Cricetulus griseus: one gene and its partners. The protein of the gene in region 2 interacts with the protein of the main gene of each other region in a biochemical or structural test. Links are inferred from orthologs where the notes say so. Each region holds a gene or a part of one and is shown on either strand. Other genes may lie near its edges.

Region 1 (4,292 bases), about 160 Mb from region 2:
CTTTTACAAAAGTCTATTTTACAAGTCTGAGTTCTAAAAAAAGAAACACTACTGTGTTAAAGATCTTTCTCTAATTTCTGGCTGTTTCCTAGTTAAGAAACTCTGCTTCTCTATGGAAACAATAGGACATTCCCTGGAAAATTGTAATGAAGACAAAGAAAATAATTACATACTTTATCTAAAGAATTTCAGTATGGTGCCTAGTGATTCAGTAAAGTCAGAGTGTGAGAATGAGTGTAAGGGGAGTACTTAACCCTGTCTATGGTCAGACATTTAAGTACCATAAGTGGGAATAAGTGGGAAGTAGAACTATTAGTGTAGTGCCTTGCTGAGCCATATTGGATCCTGAGTCAAGGAAAAAAACAAAAACAAAAACAAAAAAAAAACACTGATTATGTCTTTATTTAAACATTGATGTTTTATTTAATAGATATTTTTTTAGCAATTAAAATATTTAAGGTACTTATCTTTTTGTTTTTTTTTGTACTTTCTTACATGTTGGGCCTGAGATCTTGGTGCTTGTTTCCTTGCCTAAGGCAAGAATTATATTTATGTACAAAGGTTTACTTACCCATTGGCAGTCATCCTCATTTTACTAAATTATTACTATGTTAGTTTAATGTTAGCCTACTTGGAATTTATACACAAGTTCTTAATAAAATTGGCCTTGAGAATTTTTATTAATTCAAAACTAGCCTTTTCTCTTGGTTAACTGAAAGACTGTATTTTAAATGAGTTGACTCACATGTGATCTTCAACAATTTAGAATCTTCAAGTCTTTCAAAAACTAGGCTAGTATTTGATTGACACAAAATTATACTTGAAGTAGATGGGAGTTTCCATGTAGGAGAATTATAGTATCATAGTTTGGGTTTTCATTGCTGTGAAGAGACATCTTATGACCATGGCAACGCTATAAAGAAAACATTTGAGTGGCTCAATTACAGTTTCAGAGGTTCAGGCCATGGTGATTATGATGGGGAGCATGGCAGTGTGCTGGCAGACATGGTGCTGGAACTGAGAGTGCTACGTCTTGTAGGCAACAGGAAGTCAATGGCAGTCATGCTGAGGGATGCTTGAGCAAAAGAGACCTCAAAGCCCACCCCACAGTGACACACATCTTCCAGTAAGGCCACACCTCCTAGTAATATCACCCCTTTGGGGGCCATTTTTTTTTTTTTCAAACCACCACACAGGAAAGTTAAATGGTGGTTGATGGTTAAGACCTGTGAAAAACATGAATGGTTACATCTTGGATTGTTTTGTAAAGTACTGGAGGTCTTGAGTTTGATATAAAGTCCAGTAGATATATAAGTGTAGATATTAAAGCAATCTTAAATATGCTCCATTGGGTGTGTGTGGTGGTGAGGAGGTATTTTGCCTGTGGATATTTAGTTGTGCTATACGGATGGTAATTTGTTGGAAAAGTTGTTTGTTGTATTGTATACAGTTTGATTTGTTTTTATCTATATGCTGCAGCTTTTAAAAAATGACTACAAAACGAAGTTTGTTTGTGCGGTTGGTGCCATGTCGCTGTCTACGAGGAGAAGAGGAAACGGTCACTACTCTAGATTATTCTCATTGCAGCTTGGAACAAGTTCCCAAAGAGATTTTCACCTTTGAAAAAACTTTAGAGGAGCTCTATTTAGATGCTAATCAGATTGAAGAGCTTCCCAAGGTACATTAATACTGTCAAGAATTACATTAGATAATTTCTGTTCATAGATGTTTACATTCTTAATATTGTTGTACACAAGTGTTTCCATTCACTGGCTTCATCTTACTATAAGCACAATTCAAAATGATAAAGATTTTTAAGCCTCTGTTTGAGTTATTTAAGTACTTGTGTGAATAACTTAAAATTTCATTTTTACTTGAAGCATTTTATAACCATCAAAATAGATAACATATCTATTCAACTTCTGGAGCCATTAGATTTAGTCAAAAAACTGAAATTTCACTGTCTAAGCCCTCTATATGCAGCATTATAATTGGGGCTAATTGTAGAATTTCAACTACCACATCATGCTTCTATGGTTCTATAAATTTTAGAGGTGGAACCCTGCTTCCCTCCATTTTGTCTGGAATTGATTTGGAGAACATGCATCTCTGAAATGTAATAACAACTGGAGGGGAAAGATTGCTGTGTTTTGTTGTTTTTTTTTTCTCAGATTACCACTGTACTAAATTTTTTTAGTATGCACTTACTTTCCTTTTATTACCTGTATTTGTTTTCATGTTTTATAAAAAAAAGCTGCAGTAGCTTTAAATTGTTTATTAGGGTTATAGCCATCTGAATGGCTATGTTTGTTTGTTTGTTTGTTTGAAGACAGGGTGTCACCTTGTAGACTAGACTGACCTCAACTCTGAGATCTGCCTGCCCTTGCCTTCCAAGGCCTGTGGTTAAAGGTGCATACCACAATGCCCTTTGAAGCTGTAAATGGAGACTTGAAATTAAGTGGCTTAAAAAACTGGTTAGAGCTGGGCATGGTGGTGCTTTAGGGAGGAAGATCTTTAGTTGAAGGCCAGTTTGAGCTACACAATGAGTTCTGCCTTGGCCTGGGTCATATGTGTAGTGAGACCTTGTTTCAAAACCAGCCACTTGCAGCCACCAAACAATATGTGTTATCAGAATTCTGAAAAATAAACTGTAATTTGGACTGAGATTTGGAAAATAAAATTACAGGTGACTTAGTTAAATAAGAATTTCTGATGAATAAGAAATAAATAGTGCAAATATGCAGTATGTAGGATATACTTATACTAAAATTATTTATTTAAAATTCAAATTTAATTGGGTATCCTATATTTAATCCAGCAACCCTAACTGTAATGTAACAGAAAATAAACAATGTTGTATATAGACCTTGTTTCATGAAGTAGTTGTTTTAGATTATTTGTATGTTTGTGAACATCCTGGATGACAGTATACAAAGGCTTTTAATTGTGATGACCAATATTAAAACCATTTGAAAGTCAATGCTATGCTAGGTAATTAATTTTTAGAATATTTTGAGACAGAATCTCACTTTGTAGTCTAGGATAGCTTCAAACTTCACTGCAATCCTACTGCCTCAGCTTCCCAGATCTGGGGATTATAGGCTTGAGCCACTAAGCCCAGTTTATTCTTGATAATTTTGTGGCGAAGTCTTTAACAGCTGTGGAAAAATGTTAAAGGTGAATTGTGAATCACACTTATGTGTGATTGTAGTATCATTTATAATTTACTGTTCATCATTACTGTGTACTCCCAACAAACCCATTACTATCCATGGCTAGTTCTCTGACAGATCCTAGGTTAGTCACGAATTAGGATCTCAGCCTAGAGGCATATATACAAGAGAAATGCTGACATGTACCTACCCCAGACCTAGCACTTCGTCATTTTTCACGGGATGTTCTTCAGTATAGCTTCCTTTTTGAAATAAGCTTGATTGAAAGACAAGCTCCAGAACTTACAATGTGGTATAATAGCTGCTTACTCTTTGACAGCTTCAACAGAGAATATAGCCAAAAATGTTTTATATATTGGTTCTCAGTGGGTGCAGGTTAAAAGTATAAATCAGTCTAAGTGATTCAAATTTATTCAGATCCATAATAACATAGTGAGAACAATGTGAGGCTTTTCCTAGTGTTAATGTAGGACTAACACAGTTAGCTTTAATATGGATATTTACTGTATAAAAAATATTTCACAGGATACCCAAAGAAATGTAAAAGATAATCAAAATCCTTTCCTTTTTCCCTAGCAACTTTTTAACTGTCAGTCTCTACATAAACTAAGTTTGCCTGACAATGATTTAACAACATTACCAGCATCCATTGCAAATCTCATTAATCTCAGGGAACTGGATGTCAGCAAAAATGGTAAGTCCTCCAGATTCTTGTCCTTTCAGATATTTCATTGTTAATATTTCTGTTTTTCAAATGTTTAAAAGTATATTAGCCTCATCTAGGATCTATTTTATATAAATATACATTTAAAATTTTTATAACCTGTTTTATGCCAAAAGCAATAAAATATGGTGTCATATTCTTGGCTTAGAATTCTTTATAGTTATAAGATCTGTGATACCTCAAAACAGCTGGAAAATAAGTAGATTTTAAATATATTACTATAGTCCATGTTGTATAATAGGCCACTTAGATGTATTCCTCTAAGTTTTTACTCTGATCAACATCTTAATCATCCTACTCCCTCACCCTGCTTTGAGTCTGCTAACTGTCGTTTGCTTTCTGCTTCTGTGAGCTTGCCCTTTTAATGTCCACTGTTGGAGATCACGAGATGTTCA
Region 2 (3,515 bases):
CCTTTGGGTTTGATGCTGTCCCAGCAGTGCTGATCTCCTTCAGCTCTTCGAATGCTCCATGGCTCGCTCCTTCTAGGTTAGGTGTTAGCTCAAGAATCGCTTTCCCAGATGCCTTCCCCCATGTTTTACCAGAAGCATCCTATCTGCCATTCTCTAGACAGTACCCTGTTTACCTCCCACAGACATTTAAGCACGGGTTAAATCAACGGCTATCTCAGCAAAGGCAGGAACTAGAGCTATCTTGTTCACCTTCACCCAAAGGTTAAGAAAGTTCATGGCACATTAACAGGTGAACAATAAATATTTGAATAAAAAATTACTATACCAAATTTACATGAACACATACATACGCACACAAATATAGGAAAATGGGAAATATCAAATACAAAACAACCAAATGTTGAAAAGCATCGAAAATGACACCTGTACATACATGTAAGTATGGTTTCAAAGAGTTAAGTACCAAAGGTATTTGTCTGCAAAAATATTCAAATTTACAAAAAGGGGATCAGGAAGTATTTTCCATTGTACGGAGTTGCAAACAAGAAGGGAGTCAAGACTGGACATGACTGCTGTGTGCTGCAGAACGGAGGACCGACAGAACAAGCTGGTATCCCCTTATTGCAGAGCAGAAAGGTCAGTGACCTACACACACCCAGGATTAGTCAAGAACAGCTCAGACTGCAGGGAACTGCAGGCTAAAAATCTTGATAAACAGCTTAGTTCCCAATCTTTAAAAATTTGAAATTAGGTAATACAACATTCCCTTTATAAATTACACACAATACACTTTAAAAAAACAGATGACCCCTATCTTCTGACCGTACCCCAGCGTCACTCTACGTATTTGCAGAAGCAAGTACTTTTGCCAAAGGTCCATTTTGTAATACAACCTGGTAGTTAAGTGCCATGAGGCAGAAGGTCAGCTGCCTTTACAGAAAGATCCTTTATTATTATACTGGCTTTGGAAGAAGGAAACACATACTGAGATGATTCCAGAATAGCCCTGAAAATAATCATACTGCCACCTGTTCATGTTTTGAGACAAAAGTTAATCAATAGACCAACAAGTTTCACAAAGTCTGTTATCATCTGTAGAAGTCTGGTTCTAAGACAAGACTTACACCCCACAAACCTTCACTGGACCCAGGATTAACTACCCCAGCAGCCATCAGTGCAGCTATTTACCACAATGACATCATGCTGTACTGTTATGTATCAGAAAAGAAATGGGATGAAGAGCCCGAAGTTTCCAGTAAGGTTTCCTTCTAATGCAATTCAGCAGGAAATAAACACACAAAGAAAGAATGACTGCTAAGATCCACTGGAAACATTAAGGTCAAGGATTTCCAAGCTAATCCACTTTTCTTCCCCCAAGTTTGTTTATTTTTGGTAAAAGGCAGAAAAATTAGTTTCTACAAGGAAAATCTGCTTCTAAATGATAATTTGAAAATCTTAATATATATATATATTATATATTAAAAAAGACACAAAAATAACGGCGAAGTGGGAATAACAGATTAGGTACTGTAATTTATAAAGGCTTGCCTAGACCAAGAAGCAGCACACACACCTCAGTTATGGAAACTAAGAATGGATACAGACAGCAGAGTACTGCAATACTGGGTCTTGATACATTACCTGTATACACAACTACTACTGTAATTAATAACCTTTGGGACTCTGTCTTATGCCCAACAAGACATCACTAAGTCTTTAAGTCTTCTCTTCCCACTTTGGGGAGGGCACTTCTAGACACTAATTTTCCCATCTAATATTCAAATATAGGAAACAGATTCCACAAGGTGCTTTAACTGATGAGACCTCAAGTGCTGTTTTCACTCTGGAATTTTTGGATAGCAAACAGTCCACGGGATCATACACAAATACTATGACAGAAGAGTTGTTACATGAAGTCTTTCCATAGACTCAAATGGTGATTGACTTTATGACATGCTTGAGCATCGCACTGAAGGGGATCCCATCTGAGTTAATACTTTGTCCAACCACTGCAGAGGGCCATTCAGATGAAGCTCAATCCAGCAAGGAGTACTTGTTACTGTCTGCCTCCTGTTTGAGAGAACATAAAAATCAATTAGGAAATTAAAAGGCTGTGTATAATAAAATCTATCTTAAGAATAATTATTAACTTTGTATATAGGATTATTAGCTTGAAAATGTTTTTTACTGCTGAAATGATATAAAGAGTTTTGTCCTTTTTCAGAGACTGTACTTACTTATGTGTCATATGCATATGTATGTGTACAGGTGCATGTAGATGCCTGAAGGGGGTTGGGAGGGGCAGTTTGGACTCAGTGCTTTTCTAGATTGTTCTTTACCTTGTTCCCTTGAGTAAGAGTCACTCACTGAACCTGAAGCCCTCTATGCTGGCTAGAATGGCTAACCAGTAAGTTCCTAGGCTCCATCTGTCCCCACCCCACCATCCCCCATCCCATGCTGAGGTTACAGGCACACACAGCCATGCTGGCTCTTATGAGTGCTGGAGATGAGTCTCAAGTCCTTATGCTTGCATAACAAGCACGTTAACCAACTGAGCTATCACCCTAGAATTTCATCTTTTCAAAAGATTTACAAAAATATTTTCTTTTGAAGTTAAATTTGTATACTCAGGGGATACCTATGAGAATTTAGGTACTACTATTAGTGAGACTGGCAGGAGAGACACAACCTAGGAAAGATTACCCTAAGGAAATTAACATATATGGTCACCCTGCTTTTACATGTATCAAATGAAGTAAAAAAAAAAAAAAAAACCTCAAATTTAAAGTTTGCTGACCCAAGCTGATCCTTACTACACAATGCTAAGACTCGGAACTGACTTTTCTCTAGACACCTAGACACATAATGAGCAACAACTTGCCAGCAACATCCCTTGGGCTTCTGGTTTAAGAAGCAAGATAAAAACCTTCTAGTGCTTCAACAAAGGGGCCAATGCTTATTCCCTGAATCACACAACATCCTCCTGTTGCTCTAGTCTTAGGCATTGGATTTAGTTCTATCTTATTTGCTATACAGTGTCAGTCAATACATTTACTTTTGCTTCTTCAACATGACATTCTTCAGTCACGATAAAAGGCTCCCCATCTTTAAACAATTCATGTCCATCAGCAATTAGGAGTGGATATTCAAGCGGCTGGAGATGGCCAAGCAACTAAAGAATTTGCACTGCTTTTTAGAGAAGTGAGTTCAGTGCCCAGCACCCACATCTGTCAACTCATAAATACAAGTAACCCTCTAGCTCACATCTGTAAATCCAACTAACTCCTGGATTCCACAGGCACTTGTACTCACACAAGCACAGACACATACATACACATAATAAAAAACATGGGGGAGGCACTATGTATATATAACTCACAATGAGACCAAAGGTGAGAGGGGTCACTTACTCAGCTGATCTCAACTGTCCAATCTTATTTTTATTCTACTTCTAATCAAACTGCTACTCTGCTATTAGAATTAGTTTCCTACACTGCCCTTTCCTATCTCCTGAA
Region 3 (3,515 bases), on a different chromosome or scaffold from region 2:
CAGACAGTTGTAAGCTGCCATGTGGGTGCTGGGAATTGAACCTAGATTCTCTGGAAGAGCAACCAGTGCTCTTAACCCTGCTCTTAACCGCCCGGGTACACTGTTTTTTAATTCAGTTTTATGACTATGTAATGTGCTTTGTTTACATTAGGGTTTCTATTTTATACCTTAGATGGCCTGGAGTTTTGACAGGTAGCCCAGGCTAGTCTTGGAGTTGTCTCATTGCCTCTGCTCTGCTTCCTGCATTCTGAGATTGAAAGTGTGTGGCACCATGCTTGCAACCCAGTAAAAACCTTGATATATTTCTGTTCAGAAAAGAGAACTGACAAATTTGGGTATAAAATTGCCATAGTAAAAAAAAAAAATCATTAGCCAGGGCTAGAGAGATGGCTCAGAGGTTAAGAGCATTGACTGCTCTTCCAGAGGTCCTGAGTTCAATTTCCAGCAACCCACATGGTGGCTCACAACCATCTATAATGAGATCTAATACCCTCTTTTGGTTTGTGAACACAACACTGTATACATAATAAACAAATATATATATATATATATATATATATATATATATGTATATATACACACACACACACACACACACACACACACACACACACACACACACACATATACATATACACATACAGACAGACATAAATACATACATTTCACCTTCATTCCCAACAACCTGAGTGACCCTCCAAGGGAATTATCTCTAAAATGTTTTCCTAACCTGCTTTTTATGCCAGACATGGTCAGATGATTCCCTAGAGATTAAGATCATTTATTTCTTGCAACAAACCTACACCATTGTTACTATTATTCCTCTCACTTTACAGGAGGTAAAATGTAGGTTCTCAGAGGTTAAATAATGTGATCGGCAAAAACAAGTCTGTTACCCATTCTGGAATTGCTTACTTCATAGTATGCCAACTTACGGGACACAGCAAGTTTTTTTGTTTTTTGTTTTTCTTCAAAATAAGAGGCTACAATTTATTTTAAAATAAAGTTATAATCATTTATTTACAAATAGTTTTTTTTAATTTACTAGTAAAAATAAAATAACTTAGAAAACGTAATTTCTAATTTTGGTCATTAGGTGTCACCATCAGCCAACATACAGTGTTAAACTGGAAAGGAAGTTAGTATCTGTCCCAAAAATCACACTAAAGGTTTAAGATAAGCCTATACAATAGTATTGCTGTAACTTTATATAGTGTCTACTTGAAAAGTAGTCTCATTTTATTCCACAAGCTTCCTACAATAACTGTGTGGTTAATATTTACTACACTTTATTATAAATGAGCATAGGAGCTATTATGGTTCATAAATAACTAGCTAAGGTAAAACTGTTGGTTATAACTGTTTTCTAACCATTACAGACTTTTTAATAAAAATTGGGAGTTTTATATTTACGTTTATTTTCACACAGAATCCCAAAACCTGGATTAGTTAATTCTCACTCTCTTGTCTCTGTGTCCAGTGTAGTATGTGTCTTCTGTGCCCACTATACACTCAAAATGAACACTGGGCCTTCCCAGGGCCTTGAGCATGCTAGCAAGTACATTACCATTAAGCTAAATCCTCAGGCCATATTGACTCTAAAACAATGTGTGGTAAAGCAAACATATAATCCCAGTGTGTGTTGTATGAGTGCAAGGAACATCAGGAATTCAAGGGCAGTCTGGGTACACTGTGAGTTTGAGGTCAGCCTCAGCTATAGAAGACCCTACCTGAAAACAAAAGTAATATTTTTCTTTTTTAAAGACAGAGTTTCTTTGTGTAGCCTTGACGTACCTGGAACTTGCTTTGCAGACTAAGCTGGCTATACTCGGCAACAATAACAATTTTTCAAGATAATCTCTGGCCAGGCAGTGGTGGAACACACCTTTAATCCCAGCATTTGGGAGGCAGAGGCAGGTGGATCTGAGTTCAAGGACAGCCTGATCTACAGAGCAAGTTTCAGGATTGCCAGAGCTACACAGAGAAACCTTGAAAAAAACAAAAAAGAAAAGTTAGTTTTCTGACTTTCTTAAAACAAGTTGAAATTTTCCCTTTGCTGTTATCATACCATAGCCTTCTGGTAGATCTGGAGGCGTGTGTAAGTGTGTCCTGCTCATGTAATTTCTATGTCGCTGGGACCTGACTCTTCTCTCTGCTAGTCTGGGGTCTGAAGACTGTCCACATGTTGCACCATTTGTTCCAGTAATTGGAGTATTCTCATCCACAAAGCAGCTAAGAGGTCTGCCAGGACTAGAATATTCTGAGGCTGGTCTGTTGAAAAGTGACAAGGGGTAAAAAGGTTAATAATTAAGACATCAAAAACAGAGTTTCTAGATATCGTATATACTATAGCAATAATATAGTAAATCAGACAAGAAATGAGATGAATAAAGCAAACAATGATTTTAAGAACCTTATTAAGAGCAAGCCTAAAGTTCTTTTTTCTTTCTTTTTTTTTTTTTTTTTTTTTTTTTTTTTTTTTTTTGGTTTTTTGAGGCAGGGTTTCTCTGTGGCTTTGGAGACTGTCCTGGAACTAGCTCTTGTAGACCAGGCTGGTCTCGAACTCACAGACATCCGCCTGCATCTGCCTCCCGAGTGCTGGGATTAAAGGCGTGTGCCACCAACGCCCGGCAAGCCTAAAGTTCTTATTGACCAAAGAAACTCAAGTACTGTTGCAATTAAGTTTCTGAAAACTCCATACATACTTATAGATGTGCTCCTGAGTCAGTAAGGGCGAGGACTTGGATACAGCTGGCCTCTAGACCAGATTTCCACTATTCTCCCTCTCACATGGCTTTTGGCAAGCAGGTGTTCCTCTTCTCCTTGAATTTGCCCGAGTCATCTGACCTTTAGTTCTTAAAAACAGTACCTCTTCCTAGGTATGGCTCTTTGTCATTCAAAACACAGACTGGTGATATTTTATTTAGGATCTAACAAAAAAGCTTGCCTGAAGAGTGCAATGTTAGCCACACTAGTTAACCACAGAGGCCAGGCAGTGGTGCAATACACTTTTAATCCCAGCACTTGGGAGACAGGGGCAGACAGATCTCTGTTAATTCAAGGCCACTCTGAATCTACATGAAATTGATCCAGTCTAAAAGAGAAACAGCTCACACAAAGGTGATCCCAGCACTTGGTATCCCATGCCTTCAATCCCATTACTAGAGAGGAATAAAAATGCTGGAGGAAACAGGAGCTCAGTGCAATCTAAGGTCTGAAGGAAACAGATGCAGTCTGGAGATGCAGTCTGAGGACAGGTGGCTCTTTTGGTCTGAGCACTGGTAGAGGTGATAACTCTTTAGTGGCTGGCTGCTTTGCTTCTCTGATCTTCAGCTTTAACCCCAATATCTGTGTTAGCATTTAATTTTTTCCTCAAGAGAGGGGGGAAAAAAAGGGAAAACACTATTACAATGGAGAGTCAGGTCTCTGTATGATTATACAATGAATGATTTAAAATTGGAACAATTAAATGAAGGGATAATCAACTTAACCAGGATTGACATACTGGTTTATCA
Region 4 (3,515 bases), about 120 Mb from region 2:
TAGGTTGTTTCCAGGTTCTGGTTATTACAAATAATACTGCTATGAATATAGTTGAGCAAAATGGAAAGATCTCCCATGCTCTTGGATAGGTAGGATCAACATAGTAAAAGTGGCAATCTTGCCAAAAGCAATCTACAGATTCAATGCAATCCCCATCAAAACCCCAACACAATTCTTCATAGACCTGGAAAGAACAATTCTCAACTTCATATGGAAAAACAAAAAATCCCAGGATAGCCAAAACAACCCTGTACAATAAGGGAATTTCTGGAGGAATCACCATCCGTGACATCAAGCTCTACTGTAGAGCTACAGCAATAAAACCAGCTTGGTATTGGCATAAAAACAGACATGTGGATCAATGGAATCAAAGCGAGCAAGCTCTCTTATCACTGAGCCAAATCCCCAGTTTTTAAAAACTTCATTAAACTCTCTAAATTCCAAGCAGTGGTTGGTACCTGAACTACAGCATCCAGGGATATCATGTCAGGCCCTTCCCCTTCAGAACTGCCTTTCTCAAGCAGATGAGCAAAGAGGAGCATGGTGAATGTTAGGAGTCAGGAGTAGAGTGTGAACCGGGTTGGGTGAGTAGCCATTTATTTGGTAAAGAAATGCTAGGGAAAGAGCAGGATGAGTCAAGAGCCTGTTTATACTACAGTAAACTCTGAAAACTGGCTCCTTGCAAAGTGTCTACATTTTGGTTTGTGCTTGAATTGTTTCAGTGCATACCCCTTCCCATGAGCAGTCTGCATCTTGACATGATATGTATGCTGCAGATGTCTTCAGCAAGGCGTGTTTGGTATTTGGTAGTAAAATGTGACAAGATACCTCCTTCCCTGTCCTCTGTTGTAGTGTGGTGAGTCCTATAGATGGCAAGTCCATGGAATCTATAACAAATGTGAAGATATTCCACGGATCTGAGTATAAAGCAAATGGAAAAGTCATCAGATGGACAGAGGTAAGAAGTGAATATTGGTGCACTTGCCCTGCTTTCAATCGGCTCCCATATTGACCTCTGACTTCCTCACACTCTGCATGGTACTTGTGTGACTAATACATATTAAAAAAAAAAAAAAAGTAAACTTTTTCTAAGAAAAAAGCTTCTCTGAGGAAAAAATACCTTTTCATTTATCTACTATATTTAATTCCCTTGAATCTATCTTAGTTCACTGGGAAAGAAAGTCCAAAAGTACAGCCTGCTACACTCTGATGTGTCTTCTGCTTTGGAAGGCAAGAAGGCTGTCTCTGGTGGTCACCTTCTGGGCTGTATCCTTCAGAAAGCTGAGTATGTCATACTGCCCTCAAAGACCACTGAATAACATGGTCTTTAAAAGACCAACAGTTGGGCTGGAGATGTCCCAGTGATTAAGAACACTAGCTGGCCTTCCAGAGGTCCTGAGTTCAATACCCAGCAATCACATAATGGCTCACAGCCAGCTGTAATGAGATCTGGTGCCCTCTTCTGATCCACGGGGATACATACAGACAGAACACTATAATAATAAATAAATATTTGAAAAAAAAAAAAAACAATTCCCAGTAAGATTTGTCAAAATTACAAAGGAGGGCTGGAGAGATGGCTCAGAGGTTAAGAGCACTGGCTGCTCTTCCAGAGATCCCGAGTTCAATTCCCAGCAACCACATGGTGGCTCACAACCATCTATCATAAGATCTGGTGCCCTCTTCTGGTGTGTAGGCAAATATGCAGACAGAACACTGTATATGCAATAAAAATAAGTAAATTAAAAAAAATTACAAAAGAAACAAGTAATGGTAAGTTCCTGGTTGAAAGCCAGATCTAGCCAGCTCTTAAGCAGCTAGCCAGGTGTGGCCACACACTTGCAATCCCAGTACTTGGGAGGCTGAGGCAGGGAGATCACAAATTTAAGGCCAGCCTGGGCTACCAACATCCTACATCAATTAATTTTTTTAAAAGTCCTACACAACCCCTATCCATAGGCTTGGAGTAACCTCATGAGAGTGGCAAAAAGATGGTCAGAGTCAGGGGACCAGCACATCTGCTGTGAGGTAGTGCCATCTCTGTGTGATGGGAAGCTCAACAATATGGTCGCCTAAGCAAGACCCTCGTGATGACAACAGGAGTTGACATGACAAAGTGGACTGGGGAGTGTCACAAGGCTCCACTCTAGATGAAGGGCTATAGGCAGTTAATGGCTGCTGAGTGAGGGAGAGGCCAAGTAGCCATTATGGAATCTGTTGAAAGCCAGGTGTAGTGGTGAATGCTTGCAATCCCAGTACTCAGGATGAACATGAGGATTGCTGCCAGTCCAAGGCCAGCCTAACCTCTCCCCAGTGTGTTCCAGGCCAGCCAGGACTACACAGACAGGAAAGGATGGAGAGAGAGGAGGGAAGGAAAGTAGGTCCTTTGAAAAGCAGAACTCAATCTGTGAGCTGTGAGCTGTGAGATGGCTCCGTGGTTGAAAGCCCTTGTCATAGAGCCTGACAATCCTGAGTTTGATTTCCAAAATGCATGAAAAGATGGAAGGAGGGCTGGAGAGTTGGCGCAGAGGTTAAGAGCCCTGGCTGTTCTTCCAGAGGTCCTGAGTTCAATTCCCAGGAACCACATGGTGGCTCACAACCATCTGTAATGGTGCCATCTTCTGGCCTGCAGGCATACATGCAGACAGAAAACTGTACATAATAAATACATAAATCTTTTTTTAAAAAAAAAAAGATAAAGGAGAGAACTGACTCCACAAAGTTGTCCTCTGACCTACACAGACATACCATGTCACGTGTACCTGTACATGTATGTACAACCTCGGTGTCACCATCAGGAACATCATCTCTCTCCTTTGAAAGAGTCTTTTGTTGGCCTAGAGGTCACCAATTAGGTTGGACAGTGAGCCCCAGGTATCCTCCTGTCTCCCCCTCCCGAGTACTGGGATTTTGGGAGCACACCACCACACCAGCATTTTTATATGGGTTCTGGGGGAGTCAAGCTCAGTTCATCATCGTATGAGGCAAGAACTTCACCAACTGAGCTAGATCCCAAACCCAGAAAGCTTTAAGTTCCGTGAAAACTGGCACGGCAGTATGACCCCTGTAGTCACAATGACTTGGAAACTCAGCCAGGAGGCTATCTTGAGTTAATAAGAAATTAGCCTGGTAACCGGGCAATGGTGGTACACACTTTGAATCCCAGCACTTGGGAGGCAGAGGCAGAAGTAGAGGCAGGCAGATCTCTGAATTCGAGGCCAGCCTGATATACAGAGTGAGTTCCAGGACAGCAAGAGCTGTTACACATAGAAACCCTGATTCAAAAAACCTATTAAGAAGGAGGAGGAGGGGGAGGGGGGGTGGGGGGGGAAGGGGGCTGAGAGATGGCTCAGAGGTTAAGAGCACTGACTGCTTTTCCAGAGGTCCTGAGTTCAATTCCCAGCTACCACATGGTGGCTCACAACCATCAGTTATGAGATCTGGTGCCCACTTCTGGTGTGCAGATATACATGGAAGCAGAATGTTGTGTACATAATAAATTTTAAAATCTTTAT
Region 5 (4,275 bases), about 160 Mb from region 2:
TCACCGGGTGATTCTTTGAGAGGTTCCGGTTGTATGGGCACCTGGATTTTTTTTTTTTTTCTCTCTCTCGTATCTTCTCATCATAAGGACAGCCTGTCCTGAGTATTTCGTGGTGTCCTTATGCAGGGACCTGGAATGCATGCTGTGGTGTCCTTATCATAGGGGGCCAGGCACTTCGGTCGTGTGGAGACGCTAGGGTGCTTTGAGACGCTCTTGTATCCAGACCCCAATGTTTTGTGGCATCCTTGTCATGAGGGGGCACCTGGGGTCCTTTTTATGAGTGCAAACTCTGGGGTGTCGCGTGGCGTCCCGGTCCTGTAGAGAACGACGCCCAGCAGTATGGGGAGTGGAGGCTATTTCCCAGTTATCTCCGTAGAATGGGGACCCCGGGACCTAAGGAGGCAGCGGCGCAGATCTACTGCGGACCGCCACTCAGCTGGTCTGCGGTTGTGGCAGGGGCCTTGTGGGTTTCGGGGCCCCAAGACCGTGGTGTCAGCAGGACCGGAGACTTCCCAGCCGCGCAGGAAGCGGCCTCGGCCGGAAGGGGGGCCCCAGGCGCCTCGCTGCAGCCGCCTCCAGCGGCCTTCACAAGGCGGGGCCGAGCGGGACCGAGTAGGGCCGAGTGGGGCCGAGCGGGGCCGAGCGGGGCCGAGCGGGGCCGAGCTCCGGCCCGGGGGACCCGAGCGGAGTCGAACTGTGGGCGGACGGAGCCGAGCTTGGCCGAGTACGGGCCGGGCGTAGCCGAGCGCCACCGAGCCCGGGAGGGGGAGCGCGCGTTCTTGGAAGAGCCGGCCCGAAGCTGGTCACATTCCTGGCCCTCACTCCGGCTGAGGCGGACGCACAGCAACAAACAACGCGGGAGGCGGGGCCGGCGCGGGCGGGGCGGGGGTACGGGGCGGGGCGCGCGGCGGCGTGAGCTCAGCTCCCGGCGCTCAGTCCGAGCCGGAGCGAGCCGCCCGAAAGATGTGCGCCGAGCGCGCCGAGCCCCGCGCCGCCGCCGCGCTCTGAGCCGCGGGCTAGAGCGCCTCCGCCGCCCCGGGGCCGGCGCGCGCGGGCGCGGGCGGCCGGGAGCCGGGCGGCCGCGCGGGCGGGCAGGCGGCGGGGGCCAGCGGCGGGCGCGACGCGGCCGGCCAGCACCGCGGGACGAGCCCGAGGGCGCCGCGCGGTGGGAGGAGCGGGGCAGCGCGGCCGCGCCGCGCGAGGACGGCCCGGCGGGCCCCGCGCCCGCGCCCCCGCTCTCCCCGGCCCCTCGGCTCGGCCGCCGCGGCGATTCGCGCCTCGCGGCCGGCACCTGCCGCGCGCGCCCCGCGAGCGCCCGGGCCGCGAGCGTTGGCGTTGGCGTTGGCGGCGCGCGCCGGGGCATGCCGCGCCTAGAGCCGCGGGGGGCGCGCGGGGGGCCGGGGCGGCGGCGGCGGCGGCGCGGCGCGGGGCGCGTGATGTGGCGCCGGGCCCGGGTGGCGGCGGGCTCCAGCGGCGGGACCCCTTCGCCCGCCCGCCTTCGCCTTCGCGCGCCCCGGGCGAGGCCGAGGCCGGGGCCGTGATCGGCCGTGAGCCGGCGACGGGGGGCGTCGGGGCCGCGGTCGCGGTCGGCGGCGGGGTGCGCGGGGCGGCGGCGAGGCCGTGGGGGCCCGGGCGCACGGGAGCGGCCCGGGGAGCCCGATCGCACCATGGAAGCGGCGGCGGCCGGCCGGGGCGGCTTCCAGCCGCACCCGGGGTTGCAGAAGACGTTGGAGCAGTTCCACCTGAGCTCCATGAGCTCGCTGGGCGGCCCGGCCGCTTTCTCGGCGCGCTGGGCGCAGGAGGCCTACAAGAAGGAGAGCGCCAAGGAGGCGGGCGCGGCCACGGTGCCGGCGCCGGTGCCCACTGCCGCGGAGCCGCCGCCCGTGCTGCACCTGCCTGCCATCCAGCCGCCGCCGCCCGTACTGCCCGGGCCCTTCTTCATGCCGTCGGATCGCTCCACCGAGCGCTGTGAGACCGTGCTGGAAGGGGAGACCATCTCTTGTTTCGTAGTGGGAGGCGAGAAGCGTCTGTGCTTGCCGCAGATCCTCAACTCGGTGCTGCGCGACTTCTCACTGCAGCAGATCAACTCGGTGTGCGATGAGCTGCACATCTACTGCTCGCGCTGCACCGCCGACCAGCTGGAGATCCTCAAAGTCATGGGCATCCTGCCCTTCTCCGCGCCCTCGTGCGGGCTCATCACCAAGACGGACGCCGAGCGCCTGTGTAACGCGCTGCTCTACGGCGGCGCCTACCCGCCGCCTTGCAAGAAGGAGCTGGCGGCCAGCCTGGCGCTGGGCCTGGAGCTCAGCGAGCGCAGCGTCCGCGTGTACCACGAGTGCTTCGGCAAGTGCAAGGGGCTGCTGGTGCCCGAGCTGTACAGCAGTCCTAGCGCCGCCTGCATCCAGTGCCTCGACTGCCGCCTCATGTACCCGCCGCACAAGTTCGTGGTACACTCGCACAAGGCCCTGGAGAACCGGACCTGCCACTGGGGCTTCGACTCAGCCAACTGGCGGGCCTACATCCTGCTGAGCCAGGACTACACAGGCAAGGAGGAGCAGGCCCGCCTTGGCCGCTGCCTGGACGACGTGAAGGAGAAGTTCGACTATGCCAACAAGTACAAGCGGAGGGTGCCCCGGGTAAGTGTCTCCAGGTCTTGGGGGTTGGCAAGCCATTTGTCCAAGGAGGGGAGGCGGTGGTCCTCTTGGGCTGGGCACTCTGGCTTCTAAATGTTGGGGCACCTGGTTCGACCTTATTTGGCTTTGGGTTGTTTTGATTTCAGGAAATTAGGGGCCTAGTTAGTCTCCTGTGGGTAAGGCCATAAGGCCGCCTTGGTGCTGTCTGAGCACTGTAGAGTGAATGGAAAAAAGCCCTCTCAGGACACATAGCCCTTGACCACATAGGCTACGCTCTGAAGGTCTGAGAAAGGCTGCCTCAAGCTCTGGGAGCTTGGACTTCCTGAAGAGAAAGAACCCAGGCTATGACTTTATGGCCCAGATCTCCATGGGATCTTGACAGATGAGAATGAAGTTTGCCCCCTTTTTTTCTGATGACAGGGATGTCTTCTTGTGGTTTCCAGCTGATACGCCTTGTATGTTTACTGGCTCTCTTGTTTTGTGTTTAAATCATGGGGCAAAGACACTAAAATGAAGCTAGCTAGTTGTCCTGGCAGAGACTTGGCACTTGCAGCCCCTAGAGTCTCCTGTTGGTGCACCTTGAGGACCACTTGGCCTGGTCAATGGTAGCAGAGTCTTGCTTCTCTGACTCAGAGTTGCTGATAGTATGCAGTTTCTTTAGACTCACCCATTTCCTTCTGTTGCTCTTGCACTTGGTGTGGAGGCCTGCCTGCCTAGGCTGTGCCGTGTGTGCGTCACGGGCTTTGTGGGATCTTCTTGGCATGACCCTGGCCACTTAGTACCAAAACCTTTCACTGGGGTCCAGAGGAAGTTTCTTTGCATATGCATCCTAAGTATCTGTAACTTTTAAATATCCCTGCTTATTAAATTGCACACACAGAATGCTGCATTGGCTCAGCTATTCTTGGGAGACCTAATTAATTCAGCTATTGCATCAAACTTTTTTTTTTTTTTCTAAATCTGTGAATAGATGCTGCAGCCCGGTTTTCTCTGGGCGCCCCTCCAGCAGAGTGTCAGAATCGTGGGGGGAAGGGGCTCTGAAGAAGGACCGTTGCCTAATTCTTTGGGGGCTGCAGAGAGTGTGCACATACTGTGTGTCCTATGGCACTTTTGCCCCAGCTAGGGCAGTGCATGATGGCAGGCGGTTGCAGGCGGGTCTTTTCAAGTGGACTTGGCAGTAGGCAGGCTGATGTGGGTCCTACCAGTGGAGGCCTATCTGGGCTGTCTGCACCCTTGTCAGCTAATGTAGCCTGAGGTAGTCATTTGAATATAGCGACTGGTGGACTTGCTGGGGCTACTGTAGAGATGTGGGACTAGTGAGGATGAGCCACTGGGAAGCATTCACACCTCTTATCTTGGGAGCAGGCAAGGAGTCTTGTCTGAGTTGGGTGTGTCTGTGTTTGTGTTTGTCTGCTTTGGGTCATGTGTGTTTGTGGTCTTTCTATCCAGGTTTAGGGGACTGCCATGGTCCCTTTGTCCCGGCCACTATTGAATGGAGTAGACTTCTGCCTTCTCTGTTTACAAGCTTGGTGATTCTGGTGTGGGGTCTTTGGGCTCAGAGGAGGTGGCTCAGATGCTCGTGCCAGCACTATGGGGTTAGAAGACAGGATAGTGCACTGAGCCATGGTCATGTGCCTGGGTC

Evidence for each region.
Region 1: the proteins of Smad2 (region 2) and Erbin form a complex in vitro, tested with the Homo sapiens proteins (2 studies listed by BioGRID). The link is inferred for Cricetulus griseus from reciprocal best matches to the Homo sapiens genes SMAD2 and ERBIN.
Region 3: the proteins of Smad2 (region 2) and Smurf2 form a complex in vitro, tested with the Homo sapiens proteins (3 studies listed by BioGRID and IntAct, with this or other methods). The link is inferred for Cricetulus griseus from reciprocal best matches to the Homo sapiens genes SMAD2 and SMURF2.
Region 4: the proteins of Smad2 (region 2) and Zfyve9 are reported together in a solved structure, tested with the Homo sapiens proteins (2 studies listed by BioGRID and IntAct, with this or other methods). The link is inferred for Cricetulus griseus from reciprocal best matches to the Homo sapiens genes SMAD2 and ZFYVE9.
Region 5: the proteins of Smad2 (region 2) and Ski form a complex in vitro, tested with the Homo sapiens proteins (4 studies listed by BioGRID). The link is inferred for Cricetulus griseus from reciprocal best matches to the Homo sapiens genes SMAD2 and SKI.

Annotation. Positions count from the first base shown.
Region 1 is NC_048595.1:322,138,888-322,143,179, reverse strand, and holds the start of Erbin (erbin), read left to right. Parts: upstream 1-1,489; coding exon 1,490-1,678; intron 1,679-3,749; coding exon 3,750-3,867; intron 3,868-4,292. UniProt on the Homo sapiens protein: Acts as an adapter for the receptor ERBB2, in epithelia. By binding the unphosphorylated 'Tyr-1248' of receptor ERBB2, it may contribute to stabilize this unphosphorylated state.
Region 2 is NC_048595.1:163,540,383-163,543,897, forward strand, and holds part of Smad2 (mothers against decapentaplegic homolog 2), read right to left. Parts: intron 2,071-3,515; coding exon 1,947-2,070; 3' UTR 1-1,946. UniProt on the Homo sapiens protein: Receptor-regulated SMAD (R-SMAD) that is an intracellular signal transducer and transcriptional modulator activated by TGF-beta (transforming growth factor) and activin type 1 receptor kinases.
Region 3 is NC_048600.1:119,795,857-119,799,371, forward strand, and holds part of Smurf2 (E3 ubiquitin-protein ligase SMURF2), read right to left. Parts: intron 2,272-3,515; coding exon 2,069-2,271; intron 1-2,068. UniProt on the Homo sapiens protein: E3 ubiquitin-protein ligase which accepts ubiquitin from an E2 ubiquitin-conjugating enzyme in the form of a thioester and then directly transfers the ubiquitin to targeted substrates.
Region 4 is NC_048595.1:41,182,529-41,186,043, forward strand, and holds part of Zfyve9 (zinc finger FYVE domain-containing protein 9), read left to right. Parts: intron 1-852; coding exon 853-958; intron 959-3,515. UniProt on the Homo sapiens protein: Early endosomal protein that functions to recruit SMAD2/SMAD3 to intracellular membranes and to the TGF-beta receptor.
Region 5 is NC_048595.1:1,092,113-1,096,387, forward strand, and holds the start of Ski (ski oncogene), read left to right. Parts: upstream 1-1,469; 5' UTR 1,470-1,667; coding exon 1,668-2,636; intron 2,637-4,275. UniProt on the Homo sapiens protein: May play a role in terminal differentiation of skeletal muscle cells but not in the determination of cells to the myogenic lineage. Functions as a repressor of TGF-beta signaling.